Linked DNA regions of Xenopus tropicalis. The protein of the gene in region 1 interacts with the protein of each later gene in a pairwise test. Links are inferred from orthologs where the notes say so. Each region holds a gene or a part of one and is shown in the gene's direction. Other genes may lie near its edges.

What was found.
Region 2: the proteins of il16 (region 1) and gabpb1 interact in binary tests that used the Homo sapiens proteins (3 or more experiments, as listed by UniProt). The two-hybrid records come from large-scale screens. The link is inferred for Xenopus tropicalis from reciprocal best matches to the Homo sapiens genes IL16 and GABPB1.
Region 3: the proteins of il16 (region 1) and tfip11 interact in binary tests that used the Homo sapiens proteins (3 or more experiments, as listed by UniProt). The two-hybrid records come from large-scale screens. The link is inferred for Xenopus tropicalis from reciprocal best matches to the Homo sapiens genes IL16 and TFIP11.
Region 4: the proteins of il16 (region 1) and spred1 interact in binary tests that used the Homo sapiens proteins (3 or more experiments, as listed by UniProt). The link is inferred for Xenopus tropicalis from reciprocal best matches to the Homo sapiens genes IL16 and SPRED1.

Annotation. Positions count from the first base shown.
Region 1 is NC_030679.2:106,706,209-106,710,693, reverse strand, and holds part of il16 (pro-interleukin-16), read left to right. Parts: intron 1-34; coding exon 35-161; intron 162-3,013; coding exon 3,014-4,037; intron 4,038-4,485. UniProt on the Homo sapiens protein: Interleukin-16 stimulates a migratory response in CD4+ lymphocytes, monocytes, and eosinophils. Primes CD4+ T-cells for IL-2 and IL-15 responsiveness. Also induces T-lymphocyte expression of interleukin 2 receptor. Ligand for CD4.
Region 2 is NC_030679.2:104,957,407-104,962,584, forward strand, and holds the start of gabpb1 (GA-binding protein subunit beta-1), read left to right. Parts: upstream 1-1,985; 5' UTR 1,986-2,116; intron 2,117-2,157; exon of another isoform or gene 2,158-3,217; intron 3,218-3,817; exon of another isoform or gene 3,818-4,139; intron 4,140-5,178.
Region 3 is NC_030680.2:15,115,381-15,119,865, forward strand, and holds the end of tfip11 (tuftelin-interacting protein 11), read left to right. Parts: intron 1-498; coding exon 499-605; intron 606-905; coding exon 906-1,074; intron 1,075-1,253; coding exon 1,254-1,497; intron 1,498-1,976; coding exon 1,977-2,119; intron 2,120-2,815; coding exon 2,816-2,981; intron 2,982-3,516; coding exon 3,517-3,869; 3' UTR 3,870-4,348; downstream 4,349-4,485. UniProt on the Homo sapiens protein: Involved in pre-mRNA splicing, specifically in spliceosome disassembly during late-stage splicing events. Intron turnover seems to proceed through reactions in two lariat-intron associated complexes termed Intron Large (IL) and Intron Small (IS).
Region 4 is NC_030684.2:110,799,863-110,804,347, reverse strand, and holds part of spred1 (sprouty-related, EVH1 domain-containing protein 1), read left to right. Parts: intron 1-4,099; coding exon 4,100-4,268; intron 4,269-4,485. UniProt on the Homo sapiens protein: Tyrosine kinase substrate that inhibits growth-factor-mediated activation of MAP kinase. Negatively regulates hematopoiesis of bone marrow.

The DNA of each region.
Region 1 (4,485 bases):
TTGCAGTTTTTGACATGTCTGCATTGTTTCACAGGAAACAGGAAACTTACAGCTAAAGGGAAACCAGCAAATTACAGGCGAGAGCATATTAGACACATCTTCATCGACCAGCGAGTGCTCATACACAAGTGCTGCAGAGCCAGATAAGCACTCCGACACAGGTATGTCTTTGGGAGTCCTTTGTGAAAGCTGTCCAGAACTCAGCACTGGGTTTAGTGTAGGAAAGAAAGGGCAATTGCCTTCCCATAACAGGGGAAAGGATGAAGAAATAAAAGGAAATAATGACATTTTTTTTTAAACTTTGTTTTAGATATGTTCATTATATAAATCAGAGATGTACAGCCTGCAAGTGAAACTGCAGCTTACAGAATTCCACTGACAGCCAAAGGTTGGGAGCTACCATTATGCATGCTTCATTAACCCACTGTGCACCAGAGAGCTCTGCATACATAAACTGAACCATTTGCCCACTAAATGCATAAAAAAGATGTCACCCTCAACCAAGGAGTGAGAAAAAAGCTATTAAACCGGGATACATATGCATTAGGAAACCTACTTAACTCGTATAAATGTCACTATATAGAGAATGAATGTTCTGCTTTGCACCCACAATAAGTCACATGCATATTTCTGTCTATTTAATAGAGATTAAATGCACATGTAATACATTTACATGTTAATGGATCCATGTAGTACTTTAAAAGAAAAAAAAAATAAAAAGCCAATCAAATGATTCACATTCTTTTCTAAATAGTTTCAATTAATTGTACTTGTACTAGTTCATGTTTTTAGGAGCCAGTGGCATATCTAGATGTTTCTGGGGCCCAACATTAAATTCAGTTTGGGGCCCCAAAACTTGGCCTAATGTACCAAGATATACCGATATTGGAATTGCTCTTTAATTAGGGCCTTACTGGGCCCTCTATGCTCCTGGGACCCCCTGCAACTGCAGGGTCACTGTCTGCTTCCTTTGTTGTTACACTTCTGTTTGGTTTGCAAAAACTTTGCATTTCTCCCCAAATCATTTATGGATTTTTTTAAGAACTATGAAGGGGTATTAACTAGGTCTGCATAAAAGATTTCCTTTCTGCTTTCAGGGGCATCACTACAGAGATTTAAATGTCATGACCACTCTTCCCATGAGCAAATTTCATCAATAAGTATGAAAGGGCAAAGAACAGCATAAGTGAAACAATATGTAATCCCATATGTTGGCCATGGGGGTTTATGGGTAGACAGGAGAGGGTGAGATTATAAAAGTGGTGATGATTAGAAATTTTCGAGTGGCACGGAGGAGGCAAGTCCCACATTTTGCATTAGGTGCCTTGATTTACAATGCAATCTGTTTCTATGCAGTGGGGTATAACAATTGGTGTAAGGTTGCATTAATGCAGCTCCTGCAAGCCTACAAACAGCCAATAAGAAAGTGATTAGTAAAGTCAGCCAACACAGTGAGAGTTAAGATTGGAGCTTAAGCCCTCTCATGCAGAATACCAAGAAAGGTCATAAACTGCGCTAATGCAGTTACCTATAGAAACAATCAGTGTCTAGTTTTGATCTCTTTGCTACAAGCTATAAAATGAAAGCAAAGATTTAATAGGTTACTATGGGTAACTGCACTGGTGTTATTGACTTCCTATGTTAGTAAGTAAATGAGGTTGTCTATATATGGTAAGATCCGCTTGTTTAGAAAGGTGACCAAATGAGCAGATCTTTACCTAATTTGGCCACCAATGTTGGCACAGGCAAAGAGATGAAGGTGTCTTACAAACCCTGTAACAAATTGTAATTACCTTTTAATATTAGCTATAGCCGTTACTGACTGAATAAATGGAAGAGTTTTAGATGCAGGAAAAAGTTTTACTAAGGAAATCGAGGGTGTATGCAGTTTGAAACAATATACTATAGGTAATATGGAACCCTATGTAGCAGTCCAAACCCCAGTTGACTAAAGCTGTGTTTTTGGCCGCACCAATTACAGAACTTCTCATAATACATATAGGGATGATAAATGTAAAACTTAACATTTAATCACATTAGTAAGATTTTAGCATGGGATTCAAATTAAAATACAGACTGTGGGCCCGTGATATTCCAGGCTTTGTCTGCATTTTCGGAATGGAAAAATAGTTCATTTATTGGAGGACAGTTTGGCCCTTATATACCAAAGAAATGCAAAATGTTCCAACTGCCCCTAGCATTCTGTATGGTTTACCTAAACTGCTTGGTATTCATTTATAAGATTAAATGACAAGTCAAAGGGGTTTAGGAGACCGCCTCATACATAAGCAAATAGACAAAAAGGATTCTGGGAACAAATTCCCAGAATCCCTTTTGATTAAGATTAAATGCAAACAACTGCATGATAGGGTTTTTGCAATTTTGCACCTAACATAATGCATATGCCCTACAGAGAAATGGCTGAACTTGACTGAAATCACCAACCATTTACAAGCTATTTCATGTCTTAATTTCAGCATATTAACCCAATCCTATTACATGGGGATGTCCAATTGGAGGCCTGTGGCACCCAAAAGATTTGGAGTCTGCTCAGAGTCTCCATAGGACATTTTAAATATATCTGGCCCCCCACCATGCTGTATGAGGTATAACTGGCCCATGACATGTACTAAGTTGGACAGCACTGCCTTAGGATTTGTGAATGCTACAAATCTTCCTCTGGCTCATATGGTTAATGGCCAACCTATAGAAACCCAAGCCACAATTTTTTAGAAACACGTACAAGCTTGTCCCAAGGATGGTGACATGGAGTGTGCTTAAAATTACATTTACAGAAAATGTTTTGAGAACAACAAACACTGCCTATTAAGTGCATACAAGTTAGCACTGATTGGGGAGATAACACAGTGTACAGAACTTATTACAGCAGCACATTATTGGCTAAAGCAAAGCATAGCTGTTGTTTCAAACATTAATGGCCCTATCCAGATCCCCAGGAGATTAGGTAGACAGATGTAATTATAATAAATCTATTGTCCTTTGTGTTCCGTAGGAAATCCTGTATCAAACCACCGACCGCTGCTAAGAAGACAAGCACGTGTTGACTACAGCTTTGACACAACAAGTGAAGATCCGTGGGTCAGAATTTCTGACTGCATCAAAAACTTGTTCAGTCCCCTCATAAACGAAGGCCACAACCTAATGGATCTAGAAAGTAGTATCAGTGCAGCAGGTGGCAATACAGAGAGACTCAGAAGAGATTCTCCATGTGAGGACTCTCAGATGTGCAGCCCTCAGGATACCTTCAAAAAGGGTCCACCAGTTGCTCCCAAGCCAGCCTGGTATCGGCAGAGTCTGAAGGGGTATAAGAATGTAGATAAAAAGCCAACTGAGAGCACATCTCTAGCTAAATACAAAGAGATTCAAAACAACATTAAACCACAAACTTCAAGTCGAACATCATCAATTAAACAAAAGATAAATTCCTTTGAAACATTTAGCACACCATCGCCAGCTGGGAAAATAAGCGACAGGGGGAATGTTACATCTTCAGCACCAAATGACAAGCCCTTTAACAAACAAGAAGTAGAAAGTGTAACAGTCTGTTTGAACAATGTTACCATGAGCACAGCTGAAATTCAGGTTCCTGAAGTTATACAGCCCCATGTGGCTATTCCAAAGTCTCCTGAAAAAGAAGAACCAGAACTGTCTCAGTCACCACAAAAATCCAGTTTCCAGGGCATGCGAAGGAGCAGCAGTACTAGTAACGAACCCCAGTTTCTCTCTTCCGAGTTCAATGAACCGATTCCATACAAGACACCGAGCCAAAGATCTAGGAGCTTCCCGTTGAGTGCCTCCACACCCTCTGATGCACTGAAGATAAATGAAAACTGTAGCAAGATCTATTCCATCAGCAACCAGGTCTCCTCTGCTTTGATGAAGTCCTTGCTGTGCTTCCCTCAGTCTCCGCAGTTACAAGTCACTGATCCCTGGCCGAATGAATCTCACCCTGAGGATGAGGTCCCATCCAGCCCAAAGACTGAAAGCCATAATTTGGACAGTGGATTTTCTGTGAAGTAAGAGCCTAGTCTGTAAATGCAAATACCTAAATACATTAGCAAATTCCATATTTTGCAGAGCATTATAACAAACAAAGGGGCACATGCATTCCACTGCACCACATACAGTTTTTACCATACAGGGAATCAGAGAGTCCATGGCAATGCAGGAAGACTACGGCCTCCTTATGAAGGGAAATTGGCTTACATAAATATGGGAAGTCATATCACACCTGATGTAAATAACTAAAATAGCTAACACTTATTATGTAATGCTATATGTTCTTTCTGTACTTAATTTTACATATAATTTAACCTCAAAATGGTCCTTATGATGCTGAAGAACAAACGGCATTTTTGCTTTTCTGTAAAAGGGAATCTGTTGTTTTTACTGTTTAAGTTAAAGAAAGACTTATATAGATTGAAATTTCAACAGTCCGCTAATAAATAGTGCCATGACTTAACA
Region 2 (5,178 bases), about 1.7 Mb from region 1:
GTAATGAGAGGTCCCCATTGCTCCATATGGGGCCAAAATTTAGTCGCGGCCGCCCCTAAATTTCTGCCACCCTAGGCCCGGGCATTTGTGGCCCCTCCACAAATCTAGGTCTGTGTATGGGACAAATGTATTTACTGGAATTAAGCCTCCCCAAGATTACAGCATGTTGCAGAACCAAGGACCTCTGGAATAGGTTGTCAGCTTCTTTTACAGAATGCAGTGCAAAGGGTGATACAGGGAACTACCAGAAATCTATGGACACTGTCAGGGTTACGGCTGCCATATCTGCTGGCTTTTTTCTCCAGGCAGTGGGCGGGTGGTGATGTCACGGGGTGGAAAATACGTGGGGCAGTGACATCACAAGGCAGGGTTATGATGCAGCGGTCGGCAATCTCAGGGAGTCCTGCACAGTTTTCCTAATTTGGAAAATGGGGCAGGGGATTTTGAAAGGGACAAGCCGTTCTGAAAACTGGGCTTGTCTGGGTCAAAACCAGACAGGTAGCAACCCTACTCGGGGTCAGTCTGGGCCAACGGGATGCCGGGAAAAAACACCTGCCACCCTGACCCAATCCCCGCTGGGTGCAACCCTCCCCTGACGCTCTGAAGGTAAGTTTAATTTAGGCAAGCTCAGGGGAAACGGTCAGGTTGACGGCCCTGCGGGGGGCTGTGGATGCCACGGTGGTGGCACCTTCAGGGGTGCTTCTCAGATGCCTGTGTCAGTTACTGAGCACCCAAAGTACCATGGACTCTTAACTAAACTTTATGTAATAGCATTACAAGCTCTCATTCTCTGTAAAGTGCTGCAGAACCTGTAAGCTAAGGTAATGATCATGTGAAAAAAAAATCAAGAAAATTCAGCAAAAAGAGCATTAACGTGCAGCCCTGCAACATGCATTTCTTAAAGGAAAAAGAAAGGTAAAGTCACTTGGGGGTGCCAAAATGTTAGGCACCCCCAAGTGACTTTAACCGCCTACCTTTTACCCCGGGCTGGTGCCCCTGTTAGGAGAAAATAGCACCAGCCCGGGGTACCTGGAGTGCAGCACTTCCTCCTTCCGCCTTCCACTTCCTAAACTGCCGGTGGCCGGGCATGCACAGTAGAGCGAAAAAGCCGACTTAAATGTTTAAGTTCGGCTTTTCACTCTACTGCGCATGCGCGCGCAGCGAAGCCGGAAGGAGGAAGCGCCGGCAGCTACCCCGGGCTGGTGCTATTTTCTCCTAACAGGGGCACCAGCCCGGGGTACAAGGTAAGCGGTTAAAGTCACTTGGGGGTGCCTAACATTTTGGCACCCCCAAGTGACTTTGCCTTTCCTTCCCCTTTAAGTGCCCTTAAATTTTTTTTTTGCGATGGAGCAGCATTAAATGATGTGCCAAAAGATAGTGAATAGGTATCGCATGAACCGTCTTTACTTATTGCACAGGCTCTATTTATATCGTTCAAGTTTGAGCCACACATCTTTCTACCGTACAGCACTGGGGGAGATGTATACAAGTGAGAATTGCTGCCTAGTTAATACATGCTGAGCAATAAAACAAAAAAAAAAACAATTGAAACGTAGCATCTGGTGTTTGTGTAAACGCATTCAGTTAAACGAGCAAAACAAAAAAGTCGGAAAGCCACAAACAACCGTGCCACTTGGCACACAGAATGCTAATAACGGAACCGGCAGCTTATTCCGGAGACAACCCACAGTTCCACAAAACGCCACTAGTTCGATTCCATTCCACGCATGCGCTACTTCGCTGCGTCCTCGCCTCGTCTTGTGTATCCCTCCGCCAGAACCTACTTTCCTTCCTGTAACCAGCAAAATGATTATAAACAAATATGTTTAATAAACTGAGAATACAGTTCAATCAGAGTAACATTTAGGCATTAAAATAACTTATTTACAATTAAACACAACGGCATAGTCAGTCGCGCCACCTTCCCTAACATGAAATCAAGGCAATGCGCGCACACAAAATATAGTGCACCTCCGCGCTAAACGCGGGGACTTTTGTGCGGGGATTTTCGGCGCCGATGAGAAGGCGATTGAAGTAAAACCGGCTTGGTTTGAAAGGAAAGCTCCCCAGCAGAGGAGAGCAGGGCAGCCGAGACGGTACCAATACGACGGGCACGGTAAGCTTAGGCAGCGCTGGGAGACGTTTCTGTCAGGTTACCGAATCTTTTCCAGGTCAGTCTTGGGTGTCGGGCCCTACCGGATGTGGAAGTTGATCTCTTCTGTGGTAAAAAATAATTCAACTTCCCCCGGAACCCAGATCATCCGAACGATTTCCTGTTTATTGCGTTAAAGCCGGCGGGTTTCCGGGGATCCGGGGCTGTGCCAGGGGCTTCCCGGGTTCTGGGGGTTCTAGAAGCGAAGGGAACTGTAAAGGCGGGAAGGGCTGATGCCTGGCTATGCACAGGCGCTTCAGAAGGCCGCGGTTCCGAGAGGCGGGAAATGTAACCCGCCAAGCATTTCTCTGACTAAAGGACATATTTTGCTTATTACTAATAAATTGTGTTGTTGCTCGTTGACATGTTATTAATGAGGTCTGAAGTATTTTGTTCCCTCGCACATCGGCCTGGGATTGTGCTCGCAGCGCTTTACACGAGGCTCAGGCTGGCCAACGGGGGTTTTATTCTTATATTTGTGCAGTCTGCATCCTTTACTTGCTGCTATACTACATCTCCCGGCACACACAGCGACAGCAAATCATAGATTAGAAAGTAAGCTGCAGGCTTGCAGAAATAATTACATTCATGCACTAATATGTCCTCCGCGGGTGGCACTTACAGTGGGGAGCTGCTCATTGGCGGGCATGTTTGGTTTGGAATCAGTTTAAGGCCTAGGCTATACACATGCTTAATAACCCTAGAAACATGCCACGCTTGCTTTATTATTCATTCAAAGTTCTTGTCACTGAACATGTTATGCGCATTTTGTACGTGTAATGTCACCCAGTTTTATTCCAGCGTTCTGTTCTTTTATTAAATGACACCACTATTGCCACTGTCAAGATGATCGGTTTTGCAGTATTGTTAAGCAGGAGCTGCGAGTTTGGAGCTTCTATGTGATTGCAGAGCTGTCCTTAGGGACTGTGCCAGCAGGGGGCGCTGCATGAGGAGCCTCACAGGCATCTGTATGCAAGGAACATGTATAGAAGTTTTATACTGGAACTATCATTAAGCTTGCCTTTGTAAGCAGTAGGGATGATAGGCATAGCCGCTAGAATAGTTAGGGGGGAAAGCAACAGTCAGCAGGAATGTCTCACTCTGAGCTTAACTCATTTTTTTTTAACTACAGGACCATGGTTTTAGCTCAGCAACTGCTAAAAGACTTCATTTGTGATAGTCTTGCTTTATATAAATAGTGGGGCTCTGAGTACCGCCACAACCAAGGATATTCTGGTGAGCTATGGGTCTCTTCCACCAATTGCTGTTTGTCCCTGGCAAAGTTTAGCTGCCTAAGTTCAGAAATAGGAGGCACTGCTTTGCACCATATTGACCTGTTCATTACATCACTGGCAGCATTTCTTGAATTGTCAGTCGCATCTGGGTTTGCACCCCTTAGAGCAGGGGTCCCCAACCTTTCTACTCGAGAGCCACAGTCAAATGTAAAAAGACTTGGAGAGCAACACAAGCATCATAAAAGTAAATTGAGGCGCCAAATAAGGGCTAAGATTGGCTATTAGGCAGCCTCTATGTACACTATCAGCTTACAGGGGACTTTATTTTGTAGTAAATCTTGTTTATATTTAACCTAAACTTGTCACCAAGTCAGGAATTCAAAAATAACTACCTGGTTTGGGGGCACTGAGAGCAACATCCAAGGGGTTGGTGAGCAACATGTTGCCAACATGTGAGCCACTGGTTGGGGATTACTGCCTTAGAGTTAATTTATATTCTGCTGTTTACTAAATAGTGCAACTGGAGAGGGCCCTTTTATCTATCTATTTGTATGTGTTCCTTATTTAATACTTCTATGTGTAGTTACCACTTTATAATTGCACTAGAGTAGTAATGCAGGAAAGCTGGAAAATCTGCTTTTATAAATGTCTGTCTGGAATCTCTGTAAAACATCTGAGCTTTTATCAGCGAAGAAGGAAGTTTGTAAGCCACATGTCAGAAAAAAACTGATTTACTCAGCAGTTCTCAAAAGGTAAAGTTTTAGAGGCTTAGATATCTTGGCATGCAGACCACGTGATGTGGATGTTTATTCTAAGTGGCATTGTAAATGTATGTTCAGTGCAATAAATACTGTGACTGACAGTGCTTCAGCTCTGAATTTTCTATGTTCAGAATATTTATACAAAGTATAGTAATGTTTCTAAAGCAAACGCATACCCATATTACGGTTATCCCCCTCCCCATTGAAAATGCATAAAACCCCTTTGTTACTGGCAGCGTTGGGCTGAGCTCAGAGTGTGGTTGGTGTATGGCTATCACACTTCAAATAAATGGGCCTGCTGGGTTGATGTCTCTATTTATCAGAACAGGCCTTTTATTGTAGATTTAAAAATTTTTTTTTTTTTTTTTTTAAGCAGAAGTCCTGGCTTTGTTTGCATTGAGTTTGCTATTATCTCTGATATGTTCAGCTGTGTTTTATATGTTATGTAAATAAAGCTCCACCTGGTCTGTTGTTTTTAATAAAACTTTATATACTACATTTTCATTATCACTAGAGATGCACCAAATTCACTATTTTTCGGTTTAGCCAAACCCTGAATCCTTAGTAAAAGATTCAGCTAAATACTGAGCTGAATCTTAATTTGTATATGTCAGTTTGGCTACTGAAGGTTTAAATAGCAGTTAAATAGAAAATCTTGTAACTTCCTTGTTCACTTGACCAAAAGTTATGTGATTTTAACGATTCAGATTCAGTTTGGCCAGGCACTTGGATCTGAATCCCGCCGAAAAAGGGAGAATCTTGGTCAAATCGCCAACTTAATACTAGATTTGGTGCATCCCCAAGCTTCAAATTCAACACATAATACTATAAAAAAAACCACTGTAAAAATACAGCAACATGTACAGTACTGTATATACAAATAGATCCATATAACTAAAGTTACACATACATGCAAACACAAGTCCATACATTTTTCCCTCTGTAGAAATATCTACAGTGACCTCTGGTGGTAATTTTATTCAACTATCCATTTTTATTTTGTTGCTGTTGGACGATTTCTTCTCATCAG
Region 3 (4,485 bases), on another chromosome or scaffold:
CCAAAAGACCTTTTTAGCTTCTTAGTTACAATTGTATTTCAGTGCATGGGGTGAGTATTCTGGGCTCTGCCAAAAGCTACTTTTCTAATTTAGTTTAAGAAACTGTATCTTTTTTGGTGTTCGGTGCAGGAGATCAAAGGGAAATGAGGGACTTTTCAATAAGAATCCGAGACTGTGGGCTGAGCTGTTAAAATCGGCACTTTCCCTTGAAAATCGGGACAGGTGGGAGGTATGCTTTGAGGAGTTTTTGGGTCGGGATTCAGGATAAGTGTCAATTCGCTTAAGGGGGCAGTAAAAACTGGGAAGTTCCTCCCCTATTGTGCCTATTATATGACATATAGCACAGCAGGAGATGGTGTGTTGATGGGCTGCTGACACTTAAGGGGCTGGGGCATTACTGATGTTATTCCAAAGCAAGATCATCCTATTACCTTTAACATATGTGCCCTGGGCCTATCCTTGCCCCAGTTTCTAATTGCTCTCTCTCTTCCTGCCTAGGATCCTACTTATGGGACTGATGTCATGAGTAAGTGGAAGAACCTTCTAGAGGAAGGTCACCTCCTATCTCACAGTGCACATGATGCATCTATGGACCCATACCACAGGTACCAATTACTCCCCTAGCCCTTTAGTTAAGTATTAGGTGGGCATAAACTATGTGTAAATCATCCTCCCAATGAAAATGTACCAAATAAATCACCCCCTTCCTTTCATAAATATCAGTTTCCTTGTTTACCTGGCGTTGGGTTGTGATGCTTTCCGAAGCTGCCCATAAATAAAGCACCCCCCGGTCACTAAGGGGTTAACTAGAGCAAATGTGGAGACAAAATGCAATTGATTTTTTGTGGATCATAAACTTTTAATGTGTTGTTTAAACCTCAGTGTTATTCTCTGTTCCAATGCAGATTGCTGTGGGAGACGTGGGTTCCCCTGTTGAGGAGTATCATTGCCCAATGGCAGCCCAGAAACTGCGCTCCCATGGTGGACTTTTTAGACTGCTGGGTCCATTTGCTGCCAGTCTGGATCCTGGATAACATACTAGATCAGCTTATTTTCCCCAAATTACAAAAAGAGGTAAGTAAGTTCCTTTGTTATCACTTATATGTGTGAGCAAACATTATTATGTCGTGGGCCACAGTATTCTCAGCATCTGGGCTTAGTACAAGAGAATGAGAGTGCTGTATTAGTCAGAGCTGGGCCAAGGCACCCATGGTTTTATATATTAATGTCATTCTTTACATTTCTGCATTAAGGTTGAGAACTGGAACCCCCTGACAGACACCGTCCCAATCCACTCGTGGATTCACCCCTGGCTTCCTTTGATGCAGTCGCGGCTAGAGCCACTCTTCTCTCCCATTCGGAATAAACTTGCCAACGCCCTCCAGAAATGGCACCCCAGCGATTCCTCTGCCAAGCTGATCCTGCAGCCCTGGAAGGAGGTGTTTACGCCAGGCTCTTGGGAAGCCTTCATGGTGAAGAACATTTTGCCAAAGCTAGGTGCGCTGGCGCTAATAAGAACATCTGTGTGTTTATCCACAATTTCATTTATTTACATTTCATAACAGGAATATCCAGTCCTATCTGTTCGTATATCCTGCTCTTTCTACAGTTTCAAGCTGAACTATGCTACTAATTTAGCCAATAAAAATAAATATTTGGGATTTATGTAGTAATATAGGTAAAGCTTCCCCCAATCAGTATTCTATAGCAATTAATCAGATGTTTGCTTTCATTATTCTGATTGCACTATATAAGTTAAAGCTGCCATCTTGTTCCTATGGGCTATTGGCTCAGATACAAATTACTGCTCCAAATGAGCGACCCATGATAAAAGTAAAGTGGCCACAAACCAGCTGACTTTTGGGGTATCCAAGGATTTCTCCCAAGCAATGTGCATTCCCTCTCCTGCTAAAATGGGGGTTCAGTTGCTCATCTCATGTACAGACCTCCAGTGACTCTTCTCTCTCCCCCTGTAGGCATGTGTCTCAGTGAGTTTGTTATTAATCCGCACCAACAGCACATGGAAGTCTTCCACTGGGTCACTGACTGGGAGGGGATGGTCTCTTTGTCCAGCATCGTAGGGATCCTGGAGAAACATTTCTTCCCCAAGTGGCTGCAGGTAACTATATTGTTGGAAACCATAATGGCTTTGCATTGAATTTGAATTTGGAATGTTTTACTATAAGAATCATTATTGTTTCCCCAAGTAGAAGTAGTCTGTGTTTGTGCACAGCTACAGGAAGAATGATATGCCCTGTTATAATAAAACCATAAAAGATAAATAAACCTTTAAAATAAATGAATGTAAAATTGCTGAGATTGCTATTCTAAGCACCTTTGCTGTTTTCATGTATTATTTTTTTATTCTTAAGATATTAAAGAACAAAGTACTGTTGACATTGTTTTACAACGGTGAATTGTGTTACAACAGTGCCATCTGCTGGTCAGTGTCCGTCCATGATGACGATGTTGTCAGGAGAAAGAAAGAGGGCTGATCTGATGCTCTTCTGGTTAGGGAAACATTAGAAACCTCAGATAACTTTTTCTCATCTGAATGTAAATTGCAAAAGTGCTTAGAATAGCACCCCTATCAATTTTACATTCACTTATTTTTAAGGTTTACTTATCCTAAAATAAGCCTTTCTGCAGTGTTTGTGGTTGGTAATAGGCTTCTCAAAAGCAGAGTTAAAAGAAAATGGCTCCTGTCAGCACACAGTAATAAAGCAGTAACTCCATGTATTAGGAAATGCGAGTGTTGCAGCTGTGAGGATAGATAAATACAGTGTTTCCTTATTGCCCTTCTGCTTCTTCTTAGGTTCTGTGCTCCTGGCTCAGTAATAACCCCAATTATGAAGAGATCACCAAGTGGTATCTCGGCTGGAAGTCCATGTTCTCAGACCTGGTGTTGGCTCACCCGGCCATCAAGGACAAATTTAATGAGGCTCTGGATATCATGAACCGGGCTGTGTCCTCTAGTGTCGGTAAGTAAATATATATTCTCCTATTCATATCTGCTCCTGTTTAGTAGGCTTCTGGTGGGCAAAAAACGGATCTGCCACTGTGTCAGTGAAGGGACGAGATAATAGGGGATTAATCTAATGTTATGTGAAGGATAAAGCAGTGATAGAAGAGCTGACATTATTTCATAGCTCTTCTCCCAATGCATCAGACTCTAACATTATTTCTTTGAGGGATTGAGGCTGTAGAAGAAGAGCTGATGGTCTTTCTTTGAGGGGTTAAGTGGGAGAAGAGCTGACTGTATTTCTTTGAGGGGTTGAGGCAATGGAAGAAAAGCTGAGAGGGCCTATTATTATATCCATAGAAGACCAATTCGATACCACTATGAATAGACTAAACAAACTTGCAGTGAGACTAGAATAGATGCTGTATGATTATATGAGTATAACAGTGCATTTGGATTACGGTTTGATGAGCAATGTTTGGGTGCAGTGGGTGCCGTGCCTTATGTTCTTTATTCAGTACATGACCCAACTGTCTCTTACTTGCCTGTTCCAGGTGCCTACATGCAGCCGGGGGCACGGGAGAGCATCGCCTACCTCACGCAGACCGAGAGAAGGAAGGACTTCCAGTACGAGGCTATGCAGGAGCGGCGAGACGCGGAGAGCATTGCTCAGAGAGGAATAGGGGCTGCAGCGGCTGTGCCCATGAACTTCAAGGACCTGATCCAGTCCAAGGCCGAGGAGCACAACATCGTATTTATGCCTCTAATTGGCAAGCGTCATGAGGGGAAACAACTTTACAACTTCAACCGCATTGTGATCTATATAGACAGAGGCGTTGTGTTCGTACAGGGAGAGAAAACGTGGGTGCCCACTTCCCTGCAGAGCCTTATTGACATGGCCAAGTAGACTTCTAGTCATACGGCAACTGTCAGCCACCCCTGGACTCTGTATATACCTGTATCTAATGGATTTGATAGTGTTCGAATACATTGATGGGTAGCTGATAGCACTTCCTATGTGACCTACTGGCTTCTTGTTTCCGAGGGCTTAATCCAATGAATAGAGACTGACCTGCAATTATTTTTGTATTTAATAAATCCACATTGCCCTTGTGTACCCAGGGGTCTAACCGCATCCCAGGATCTTTGTTATGCGGGCCTAGGTACCCATCATTGTACAAGAGTAGTGATGGGGGAGCACCCACATACACCTTGCACCCTATTAGTAGCCATGTTTTCTGTTCCTCTAGGGGTAGGTGCATTGGTTCTACCCTGGCAAAGGGGGACTGCATGCTGCAAACCCACAAGGCAAGTGACTGAAGCAATCGCTGGGAAAGGTACAAGGGACGACTGTGCGTGGGAGAGGATACAGCAGCCCTGTGTATTTGACTGAGCCAAAAACAATATAAAAAGTTTGTGTTTGACCTTAGTTCTCCTTTAAAAGGGTTGTTCACCTTTGCGTTAACCTTTAGTATGATGTAGAGAGTGATATTCTGATACTATATGCAATTGGTCTTCATTTT
Region 4 (4,485 bases), on another chromosome or scaffold:
CCCAAATACAAATTGGCATAAAGACAGGGTGAAAAGAAGAAATAAATAGGGTTATTACTAATGTCCAGTCCTAGGGTTATGACTTATAATGTATTCATGAATGACCTTGAATTTGGTATTGAAAGCAGTGTATCAGCGTTCGCTGATGGCACAAAGTCATCTAAGGTAATAGGATCTGTACAGGATGCTCCTACTGGATACACAGAGTTGAGGGCTGTGCGCACTGTTGTATTTATGTGGGGTTAGCTTATAAGAGAGTTAAAGGAACAGTAATGCCAAGAAATAAAAATGTATCAAAGTAATTAAAATATAATGTACTGTTGCCCTGCACTTGCTACAGAAACCACTATAGTTTATATAATAAGCTGCTGTGTAGCCATGGGGGCAGCAATTTAAGCTGGAAAAAATGAGAAAAGGCACAGTTGACATAGCAGATAACAGATAAAACACCATGGTATTCTACAGAGCTTATCTGTTATCTATGTAACCTGTGCCTTTTCTCATTTTTCCAACTTAAGGTCCCCATACACGGGCCGACTATAGCTGCCGATATCGGTCCCTTGGACCGATTCGGCAGCTAATCGGCCCATGTATGGGCAGAACAGAGCTGCCTGGCCGACCGATATCTGGCCTGAAATTGGCCAGATCTTGATCGGCCAGGTTAGAAAATCCGGTCGGATCGGGGACCGCATCGGCTCGTTGATGCGGTCCCCGAACCGACTGCCCCATAAGCTCAAAAGTCCCTTGCTACCTGATATCGCCCACCCGTAGGTGGGGATATCGGGTGAAGATCCGCTCGCATGGCGACATCGCCAAGCGAGCGGATCTTATAGTGTATGGGCACCTTAAAATGGCTCCCCCCATTGAGTTTCTGAAAGAAACAGACCAGTGTTACCAGTGCAGGGCAGCAGTTCATTATATTTTAATTACTTTAAAACACATTTCTTTTTTGGTGTTACTGTTCCTTTAAGGGGAGTGAAATCTACAAGAAAGTGCGTTCTTTGTAACAATCTCTATTAATCCACTAATCTGCCTATCTTGAACAGTGACTGGGAAAGTAAAACAATCAGATGATTATTTTAATTGTCTAAGCCCAAATGTAATAAAGTGACAGGTAGTTTCTATTTATGTAGATGACAGGCAGCAAGGAGAGGCATTAGGGTTGATTCACTAAAGTGCGATAAAACGAGCGCTATTTATAGCTTTCTTTAAAAAGTTTATTGCGTCTTATTTTTCGCGTCTTAACGCACGATTCACTAAAAGGTTACTTGCGTTAATTTAGATGCAATGCTGTTTGCGTTATTTAAGTTGCGAAGACTATTATCGTGCGGTATTTGACGCAACGTGCGCTAATTAACGCAGCACGCTATTAGCCATACACACCATTACGTTCGGAAAACTACTGTTCTGAAAATGACCATTTCCCTGCAAACTGGCGGCTGCATCACTCTAGGGCCAACACAGACTTGAATAAATCCCACTGCAAAGTCCATATTGTGTTGCCAAAAGCTCATGAACTGTACTTTTCTATAATTACCTCCTGCCTCAAGTAGGTGTTAATTTGTGCACAGACTAATGCGATATTTAGCGCGTCTAAGTGTTTGTGAATCATGCGTTAGTATTATTTCTGCGCAAGAATTAACGCAATGCATTAAAATTAACACATTCGGCTGCACGCTATTTAACGCACGCGATATGCAACTTAATGCATGCGATAATACTTTAGCGAATCACGCGGGGGGGTTTTTTGCGGCAATTTTAGCGCAAAAAAGCATGTGATAACGTTTATCGCACTTTAGTCAATCAACCCTATTGGGTGTTATGGTGGCCGACGTTCTAAGGCCTATGGCAGATACTGCGTTTTTTGTCCACCAGCATAAAAGCTGGGCGAATCACTATCATACTGTACACGGGGCAGAATGAGAGCTGATCAACCTTATATGCTGTGTGTGCCCTAGGCCTACGGGGCAGATATGCTAAAGGTCCAATTTTTCACTTGCATCCAAATTTTTTCTTCCTGTTTTTTTCACACACCAAAATTTTATTTTCCCATAGGAAACCATTTTGACAAATAATAGTAAGTCTCACAAAGAAGTTAATACTTAAGCTGATGCAGCACAGGGCTGATTCTTGCCCTGCGGAAAAGCCTGCATCCAGATCCATTGTGTTGGCCCTAGTGCAGGCACACGTGGCAGATGTTGGCAAAGAAACTCAAGTGTTTGTATTCAGAGCCAATATCTATTGCACGTGCCTGCAATCGGGCAGATTCAGTGGTTCCAGTTGCAGGCAAAAACACCGCATGGCATCAGCCTTACTAAATCTGCCTCCTGACTCAGAGTGCAGATTTTTTTTAATCCCATTTGCAGAATGCGGTGCATATTTAGACAACAGCCATGAAGTGTGCTGATAGAAAATGTGGGTTGCCTGCTCAGTAAGTGTATTTTGAAATATCATTTAGTTTGCCAAGCCAGTGGCTCTCACTGTATGGCCATTTTACTATACACCTGTATAATAAGTGTAGTGTTGTGTGTTGGTCTCTAAGTGCTTTTGTTGTGCAAGTGTTCACGTGTCATCATGTGTATGTGCTCCTCTGATTGATTTGTTTCCCTTTAAGATACAGGTCCGTCTGTAAATCCCTAAAAACTCAAGAACCCTTGCACATTTTAGAAATTCTTCTGTTTCCTCTGTTCCCTCCTGAGACCCAGTGAGTGTGATGTGTATTTCATGTGGCCCACACTGCACAGACACACATTCCGCCATATTGTACCTTGTGTTCTGCATTCTTTCTCCAGCTGCTCACATCTGGTCTTTTTCCAAGCAGACTTCCTATGGGAAATGTAATCATAGCGATACACGAGGCCTGGACATAAAATGGGCTAGAATTCCAGGGGTGCACAATACTGTACAGGGAAGTGTTTGTGTTCTGACTCACACAACTAAGCAGTGCATTGTAGCATATGTGCAGGGTTGTTTTGTTTGTTGTAGTGCATATTTTCTAACACACCTTAAAGGCAAATTCTAGTTAAGCAGGCATGAAAATGTCAAAGCAAATTTATAAAACACCCTCAGTTAAGAGAACATTCATTTATTTTAGACATTTTTAGACAAGCATGAAGACAAATACAGAGTATTTGCCGTATATTAGCTATTTACTGGATGGTGGATGAAAATGCGGCCTGTGTAGTTAAGACCCGCATTATTTCATGAAGCATATAATTGTGTAAACCATAAACTGGCACAATACGTAGTGCTGACTCTCTGCATACATCTCAGCAAACATTACCCAACAAAGCTGAAACAGAAAGCAGTTTGTCAGGCATCCCTTTTGGGCCACCAGTATCCAGTCAGATTTCAACCTCCTGGCCAGTCAGCCCATACAGTATTTAATGGGGTGGGTCATTATCCATCTGTGGTTTTAGCTTCATAGTGATCATATCAAATATTCACTGGTTAAAACCCTCACTGAGGCTTATTCTATTGGATCATATTTTGGATAGGTCGAATTTGTCCATTAGTAGGTTTTACTAAAAATTACTCCCCCCCTCCGTTGTTAATGTGTAGTAGGGATGCCTGGCCTGCAGCAATGTGCAGCATTTCTTGGTAGCGTAGTATAAATTTTGCATAGACCCAGGCTACATATGGGGATGTACCAAATTTGCACCCTAATGTACATATTCCTGTCTCTCTGTGGCCCATGGCCCATCACAGCAAAGGTTCAGCCTTCAGATAAATAAATCTTAGAATCCTGATGGAATTTGTCTTTTTGTGTGATATCATCCCTGCAAAAATTGTCGCAGTCTGTTGTATAGTGTATAATAGATTCTGCTAAGATATAAATGATCCGTTAGCCATTGCAGCGCGTGAGCCATTGTTCCACATATGCTTCAGTGCTTCATTCCAGTTGGTCTGTGACATGGCAGCTGGGATTTGCTTTTTTCCCCCCTAATTATTTTTTTCCTGTAGTTCAAAGAATAAACTGTAAGAACATTCCAGATGTTCCTGGGTTGTGACCATGGTTATTACAGGGCCTGGGCAGGTTTAACACAAGTCAGATGTTTCCGTGTTGATTACAGGTCTGTGACATCTCTTCTTTCCACAGGTGGTCCTGGAATGTGTGCTCAGGAGGGATCTTGTCTACAATAAAGTTACCCCTACATTCCATCACTGGAGGATCGGAGACAAGAAGTTCGGCCTTACGTTCCAAAGTCCCGCCGATGCCCGAGCTTTTGATAGAGGAATACGTCGTGCCATTGAAGACCTGTCTCAAGGTACCATTGTACCTGAGGTAGAGGGGCTCCAGAGGGGATAAAATATGTGATGTGCAGCTTAGACTAAATGCAGCAGCATCATTTTAGTCACTGGCGGTTGCCCCTAGACAACTAGTTGTACGTGGAGTTTTATTTTCCATTGGTAGGCAATAAAATATGAAAATACAGGTTTTTATCGTCACATTTAACATTGTGCTGGCACATTTTTTTTATATTT